2 linked regions of the Tribolium castaneum genome follow. The protein of the gene in region 1 interacts with the protein of each later gene in a biochemical or structural test. Links are inferred from orthologs where the notes say so. Each region holds a gene or a part of one and is shown on either strand. Other genes may lie near its edges.

Region 1 (3,830 bases):
TAATTATTTGGTAATTAAACACTCGAAGAGAACAAAATTAGCACATTTTTCATCCAAACTCGTTTTAAGCAACTGTTACGCAACGTTTCGCCTATTATAACATACATCATCAGGATAAAAAATCAATACCTGTCCCAAATCCTTCGGGTCCCAATTTTCGACGTTCTTCTCGATTTCGTGCAGTTTATCCAAGGCGGCTTGTCGGCGCGCCCGCACTTGGAGGAAGGGGGTGGAGCAGCTGCGCAGCATGGCGGGGGAGGGGACGCACCGGGAGAGCTCGATTTGGAGGGGTTTGAGTAAGCCTTCGACTTGGGTGAGGGTTTCGCGGTCTTCGGGGGCCACGGACAGGCCCCGTAAAATGGTGATGTATTCGATGTAGGAGAAGCAGTGTCGGATGGGGCCCATTAGAAGCGCAGGCAGGTAATACTTGAGGGCGAGACGCATGCCTTGACCGGCTGAGATGAGCGCGTTTTCGACGTCGGGGCGCGAGAGGAGGCTGTTGAGGGTGGAGCGACATGTGGGGGCGGTTACGTCTTTCGCGTATTTTATGTACACGTCGAATTCGGCGGCTTCGGCCAGCTCTGCCAACAAAAAATTACATCTGAAGTTTTTTATAAGTAAATATATTTTTATGGCACTCGCTACGCTCGTGCCATTTCGCGAACTACTTTTAACGCCATTCGAAGTGTGCTTTAGCCGCGCTAAAATTTGGTTGCTTATAGCAACGGCCGATTTTGCTATTTTATTGTACACCTGACTATTTTGAAAATGTCGTGTCGGTAAATCAACCCATAAGCTCACACATTTGTTTTTGCAAATTTTATTTCAGAAAAAAATATTACATATAAAAATGTAAAAATTGTTACATGATGCGGCTCTGTATTAAAATTTGAATAAATATTATTTACATGTTCCCGTAGTGCTAACAGTTTCAAGTTAATCAGTGGTATAGCAAACAGCTTTGAGTAATTAAGTAATTTTATTATTAAAATTAGTTGAAATTTTTAAATTTTGTAATTTTTTTGTTTGTGGTTATAACTTTGAAATAGCCTATAGTTTATAATTATGACGTTTGCTTAAGTAATAATTAAATCAAAAGTTGCAATTCGCTTTATAATGATTTAATAACACAGATTTATTTCAAAAAAAATGTTAAAACTGAATGTAAATGTATTTTTATTGCTAGGTGAGACATTATCTGTTTTTTCAGGTGTACTAGCCTATGAGGCCCATTACAGACTCTACGAGATGAAATAAAGCTTCTCATAATAAACAGACAAAAATTTTTTATATGTAAAAAATTGTGAATTATAATTGTTTTTTTAATGCAACATTCGTTTCATTAAATTTATTATCAACCTCTAAATATAATTGTTATAAATAAACCAAACCAATTTTCTCAATATGTAAATTTGTCGGACAATTTTGACGTTTTTCGTCATTTATGACGAAATTACTGCAGCAAATATAAATAAATAAATACATAATAAAAAATAAATAAATTATTTCTTTGAAGATTCTTTCCATTATTCTTTATTATCTGCTACATATTAACTTTGTATAAAGTCAATGAATCAGACGAATTTTTTTTGTAATTTTTTTATTTTTATTTTTTTGTATTCATGACGATAAAAGCGAATGTTCTTACACAATTTTATTCAGTGTGTCTTACTTACTGTTGTCACGAATTGACACTTCATAAACTAATTAGGATTTTTTAGTACAAATATACTTCTAAAACCAATTTCTTGGGTGACATTGATTTTGTTGTGTACTGTACACAAAAAATTAATTTTTACATATTAACAAAAATTCTTTAAAAATAGCTCATAATTTTGATATTGTTATAACAAAAACACCCTCTAGAACCCTTAATTTAACCAGCTATTGCAATATTAACGACTTTTAGCTTAATCGTTCAATCAATTTTCAAAATTTTCATTAAAACAAGCTTTTTTTTATTGATAAAATACCACAAATCACCAACATGGCAGGTAAAAATCTATTACGAGGCTAGATTTACATAATCAAGCCGAAAAAACGGTTAAAAAACTTTTTATTTTCGTGACATAAACTCAAAAAAAATTAATTAACAAATTTTTTTGCTTAGAAATCGTGAAAAATCGGTACAAAATCAATGCAAGGTCCCAAAGTTGAAGATTTAAAATGTTTTGCAAAATTAAAACCTCACAAAAAAAATAATAAAGAAGCTTTTGCTGCGTACAGTCTTGGACAAAAGTAATGACAAAACTTTTTTATTTTGTAGATTAATTTGCGAATACAATTATTACATACAACGTGAATATGTAAATAACAATAACCTTAAAAAAATATTTATACCAATTTTTGTTTCTTAGAGATCATAAAAAAATAAAATGCAATACTTTTTTTTCAGAAAAATTACATTGTGTTGATTTTGATTTTTTTTTATAAATGTTTGGCGAGTTCTACAGTTTCGTAAAAGATATAAAAAGACATAAGAAAGTTTCGAAAAAATTAGTTATTCTTTGTTTTTTTCAAACGTTTCGAAATTAATTATTTTCGTATGAAGCCATTTGATTACGTGACGTTGGACCTAAAAATAAATTATTCCGTCCATAAAAACACAAACTTATTTTTATTCACTCAATTCCTATTTAAAACAATATTTTTTCATAGCCAATAAAAATATATATCGGTTTGTAAGCGCGCTGCAAAACCAGATAAGTTTTAAACTCTGCTGTAAAAATTAAAATATATACTTATTTACGACCAAAAAACACCAAACATAGTAATATTAAATGTCTCAGACTGGAAAAAACCGCCATGAAATGGCCATAAAATGCTAAACACCTGCTAAAAAATAAAAATTTCCATCTAAACATATCTTAAAATTAGTAATTCTCAATTATTGGTTCATTTATGCAATTACAAGTTTCAAAATCGCGTTACCTTCGAAACAGCTGCCAATGTACGACATTTGGTCTTGCGCCATCTCGATGACGTCCTCCAAACTACCCAATAGAGTATACGTCAGTTCGTAAATATCCATAATGTTCGAAAAAATCAGTTCAATTTCGGTCGAATCGGAGCTTAGTTTGATAATTTCCTCGCTGCAACAGTCGTCACACATCACGTGACCCGACCAAATCCGAGACTTACCGAAACACTTTGATCAACATGTGTAGTTCTTTGATGTATGCTTTTTCCGAAGCTATTAACTCTCTTACGACTTCCTCATACGTGAGACTCGTGCGCGGAGCCGACGACACTAAAAGCGACTCAGTCGGTAAACCAGGTCCCCCTCCTTCATCTTGATAGAACATATCCATGAGTGCCTATAAAAAATACGAAAGTGTGAAGAAATGACCGACGCTGACTAGATAAAGTGTGCAAAAGCGGAAATCATAGTGACCTGTGCAAGCGGCAACTAAAATCAAGCCCATCTATGACAAGTCTCTGGCGGCTAGTTCTATAACTAGGGAGAAAAACATGCTGCCACATTGAAAGAAATTAAATAACTAAAAACATGGCTACCTACCATGGCTGTGGGCTGTGACGCAGCGTGAAAGCAAAAGCAAGTTAATCAAAAAAATGAAAAGCTTCTCCATTTTTTTTAATCCTAACCTAACTCGTCAAATAAAAAACATCTAGCTAGTGATTATTACAGTGGCCTACCTTATCCGCATTCATCGAAATCTGGACATCCTGGTAGGTGATTTCGAAATGTTTGATGTTTTTCACGTAATTTCCCGCCAATTTTAAAATATCGGCCGAAATGTACTCCAAAACAGCGACTAGAAAGAGGGAGACGGTCGAGTCGACTTTGTACAATAGCAATTCCTAAATCG
Region 2 (3,978 bases), on another chromosome or scaffold:
TTTGCGCAAATTGATGATGTGGATTCCGTCAGCGCGCCGCTTGTAAACATATTGTTCCATTTGGAAGTCTACGTTAGTGGTGCCCACATGGGTGCCGGCGGCCAACATTTTGGTCACATCGTCCTCTTTGAGGCTGAGAACTTCCAGACCTCCCGACATCCTTACGTTAGAATTGAGTTACGAGTAACCTGGAAGATGCGTGAAAGAGTTAGGTTATGGCGGTGTTTCGGTGATTTTTGACCGAATTTGGGAAAATAAGCACAGGATTGTGTGGCAATGGGGCTTATTGAACGTTTAAAGGGGTTTTAAGGGCGGGATCGTTGATGATGGGTCAGATTTTTCGAAATTAGAGGGACTTACGTTGAAAGATGCCACTGGGATTCGATTCCTTCGTGGAAAAGGAACTTTAGTGCCGTGATGTTGGCTATCGCCACTTTTTCACCAAGTGAAATTGTGGTGCGAAATTTGAATTTCCTTTTTTGTTTTCGAGAAAAGCAGTAATTTTCAGACTTCCAAAATGTTAAATCAATGTTCAACGAGTGAAATTCATCTGAGTAAAATTATATCATAATACTTTTTCTAATTTTATGGAATTTCTAAGGAAAGTTGGGCAGGTCAGAAAATTGGAGTATTTATTTGGAGTTAGAGGAAAGCAATAAAACGGCTGTTATTTATATAACATATATTTACTTATACTCGCCTATTATAATAATGCAATATTGTAATAATAAAACTATGTTAGTATTTACATACAAAGTCTAAAAGTCAAAGCAAGAGAATGCCAAACGAATGAGTGTTGAATAAAATTCTGGCATAATCTCTAACGCATTATATACAAATAAAAATCTTTTGAAATAAACTCACGAATCTCCATAACTTAAAGAAATACAAAAAATGGCATCTGATTTGCTAAAAATACGATATTGTGTGCACTATCTTATAGGAAATTGGATTTAAATATTAAATCTTCGACGGAAACTAGCTCCACTTGCTCCTAACTGGTTAATTTCGTTGCATATCTGAACAGAGTAAAATGTAAGCAACCTGTCATACACTCTACCTAAAAAATTAAACATTATATTATATTCCATAACCTACTGAACTGAAGAAGATTAATAAATTTCACGTTTTTCAGTACAATTGATCCAATATAAAAATATTTGATCTTAAAACTACATTAAGAGATTTTCCAAAAACAATGAGCAATTAATAAAATCATCTAAACGATTATTACAAAATCACATAAATTAAAAACCAAGTAAAAAATCGCCCACAGTTGCGCAGGTTTTTCCAAGAGTGGTGGTGAAATAATGCCTTTGAGAAAATAATAATTAAGGGAAAAATATTATGTGTGGTAAGGCGTCACGTAAGTAGCGGGGAATAGGCCGCGACGGTGTCCGATCTCGCCATGCCACCAGTGCTGATCTGAGCGGTCCGTCACCGTTATTACGTCGCCCCTTCGGAACTCTAGCTCGCCGGCTTCTTGTGGAGTAAAGTCGTATAAGGCCTGCACCAAGCACTGCAACAGGAACGTCACAATTTGCCCATTTCTACATCCATTTATTCTCCAAAACAATTGTCAAGGTCAAAACTCCCACAAAAAATCATCGCAAATTTTAAATAATTTTTTCCTCATGTTTTTCATAAAAACTTTAGTCGACAGTTTTCCTCAGTCTGATGAGAATGCAAACTCAACATTACTGCATTTTTTCCGAGTTATTAGTGAATTGGTTGAATTTAAATTAATTTAAAACGATTTGGTGCTTGAAGCGCCCTCATTTAAGTCTACCGTACAATTTTTTTGGGTTCAGGAAATCCTGCGATTTAGTATCCTAACTTATAGTCCTCCGTAGACCAGACTATATATCAAATAACTACAGGGTGATAATGCTTATACCAACATGACTACACTGACAATTGTTCTGAAAATAAAGACAATACGATTCCGCACCTCTTCGGCCACCATGTCCTTCAGCTTGACGTCTTGTGACCGGGACACGGACGACGTGCGATGGTATTCTACTAATTCATTTAACGAATTGAATTTGACTACCCAGAGAAAAAATTTGCCTTGGGCGTCCCTTAGCACCTTGAAATGTTGCACGCCGTCAGAACACCTGCGATAATGGGGGTTATTTATAATTTTGGGGGCTAAAAAGTGTGTTTACTTGACAGATAGAGAAAAATCTCCTGGACTGGATTCACTAATACGTATGAGAAAGGCCCCTTCGTGCTTGTTTGAGAGCAGTTTTTCGGCGTCAGCTCTTGTGATTCTACCGTAGTACCAACTGTTCAAGAGAATTGTGTTATTATCATGTGACCCCTCAAGGTGTATTTACCTGTGGTTCTTCATTTCTATGTAATTACTAGGAATTAGGCCTTCTCTGCCGTCCAGTTCAGCTCTGTACCAGTTCATGTCGTCTTCCATATTCAGTATCTGGAAAAATGGTTTTAGGGCAAGCCACAATTTCGGGGAAGTACCTTTAGGACTTGAGATCTACGAAAACTAAGCTCATCGTCGGCCGTTGCGTTGAATTCGTGCTTCGCTATTGCTTCCATTGTTCAAGTTCGTCTTATCACAAATAAAAGCACAAGAGCTGACTCCAAAAAAGTTCAAATAGCACCGGCAATGTCAATACATTGGCTTCCTCCAACTAGCACTAAGCATCCGCTTTGTAATCTAACGAATAACACATTTCTTTGGAAGATAATCACTTTATTTGGTGTTTTTGTTGGGTTTTTACGCGAACCTTACGAGAACCCTCCCTTCTGTCACTGATGAAATTCAACACTGGAGGACAATCATGGCGGAGGAACACTATCTTATCACAGCCAATCGCTCTTATCGCGCAAACACAACAAACTCGCCGGCTTTGGACAAGTAATCAGGCGCAAAAGACGATAATCCGGAAAGAATTCGATACTGGGTACGGAAATAACAAAAAAAAGGTGAAATAATCCGGAACTACTTTTCGCCAGGGGCGCAGTAATCGTCTGTCACTTGAATCAAATTCTACCAACACCACTCACACGTCACCAACAATGTAGTCCCAAAAGCACTGCCGTGACAATTGTTATCTATAACTGTTCGTTATTTACTTAACTAATGAAGTTACGGAAGTTCCACCAAACAAATAAATGGTGAGTTTGCCATTAACTGGCCCCAAGTGGTGTCAATGTGTCAAAGTGACAACAAGTTGGTTGCAGGTTAATAGTGCGGTGTTGTCAAGTCGTCACAACAATTTTTTGAATTTTAATTGCCCTTTTTTTCATTAATTTTGCAATTTCCATTCCGCTTTATCACGCAGAAAGTAGGAATGAAGGCTTATTGTGTCTTTATCGGTCACGCTACGTGCACATTGCCCCCGCGGGAGTTTCGAACTTTGCCCTATGGGAATCTTATAAGACCGTGATTTCAGGCTTTTTGGTGAAGATGCCGCAGATTCCGCCCCCGAAGGAGCACAAGTACGTGGACTCGCTATGGTGCATGTACATGGTATCGGTGGTCGGAGCGTGGAATGCGGAGTTAGGTAAAAATAGAAATTAAGTAACTTTTGCCACCTTGTATTCCCTCAAAAAATCGCGCTTTATTTATAGAATAACTTGGCGTTTGTCGAGTCTTTCGTTTAAGTTAGTTTTGATTTATTCATCACCTGACCTTGACTCTCGTTGCAGTGACTTACCCGTTAGATTTGGCCAAAACGCGGCTGCAAATACAGGGTGAGGTCGCCAACACCAAAGATGCGAGCATGGTCAAGGCCCCGTACCGGGGGCTGTTCCGCACCGCCGTGGGGATCGTCTCCGAGGAGGGGTTTCTGAAGCTGTGGCAGGGGGCGTACGCCGCCTTGTACCGCCACTTGTTCTACTCAGGTACTCGAATTGTCACGTACAAGCACCTCAAAGACAAGTTTTTCGACTCGGGCACCGAGCAGTACTTCCCCGTGTGGAAGTCGGCCCTTTGTGGGGTCACAGCGGGGG

What was found.
Region 2: the proteins of Sos (region 1) and drk interact in a test that uses a peptide from one of them, tested with the Drosophila melanogaster proteins (2 studies listed by BioGRID, with this or other methods). The link is inferred for Tribolium castaneum from reciprocal best matches to the Drosophila melanogaster genes Sos and drk.

The regions. Positions count from the first base shown.
Region 1 is NC_087401.1:14,845,010-14,848,839, forward strand, and holds part of Sos (protein son of sevenless), read right to left. Parts: intron 3,823-3,830; coding exon 3,658-3,822; intron 3,533-3,657; coding exon 3,521-3,532; intron 3,318-3,520; coding exon 3,142-3,317; intron 3,093-3,141; coding exon 2,932-3,092; intron 582-2,931; coding exon 130-581; intron 1-129. UniProt on the Drosophila melanogaster protein: Promotes the exchange of Ras-bound GDP by GTP. Functions in signaling pathways initiated by the sevenless and epidermal growth factor receptor tyrosine kinases; implies a role for the ras pathway in neuronal development.
Region 2 is NC_087399.1:3,452,116-3,456,093, forward strand, and holds drk (growth factor receptor-bound protein 2), read right to left. Parts: upstream 2,623-3,978; 5' UTR 2,560-2,622; coding exon 2,482-2,559; intron 2,438-2,481; coding exon 2,340-2,437; intron 2,289-2,339; coding exon 2,169-2,288; intron 2,118-2,168; coding exon 1,952-2,117; intron 1,520-1,951; coding exon 1,346-1,519; 3' UTR 668-1,345; downstream 1-667. Other genes in the region: sta (small ribosomal subunit protein uS2), read right to left, coding at 1-159; Ucp4A (mitochondrial uncoupling protein 4), read left to right, coding at 3,177-3,207, 3,420-3,530, 3,676-3,978.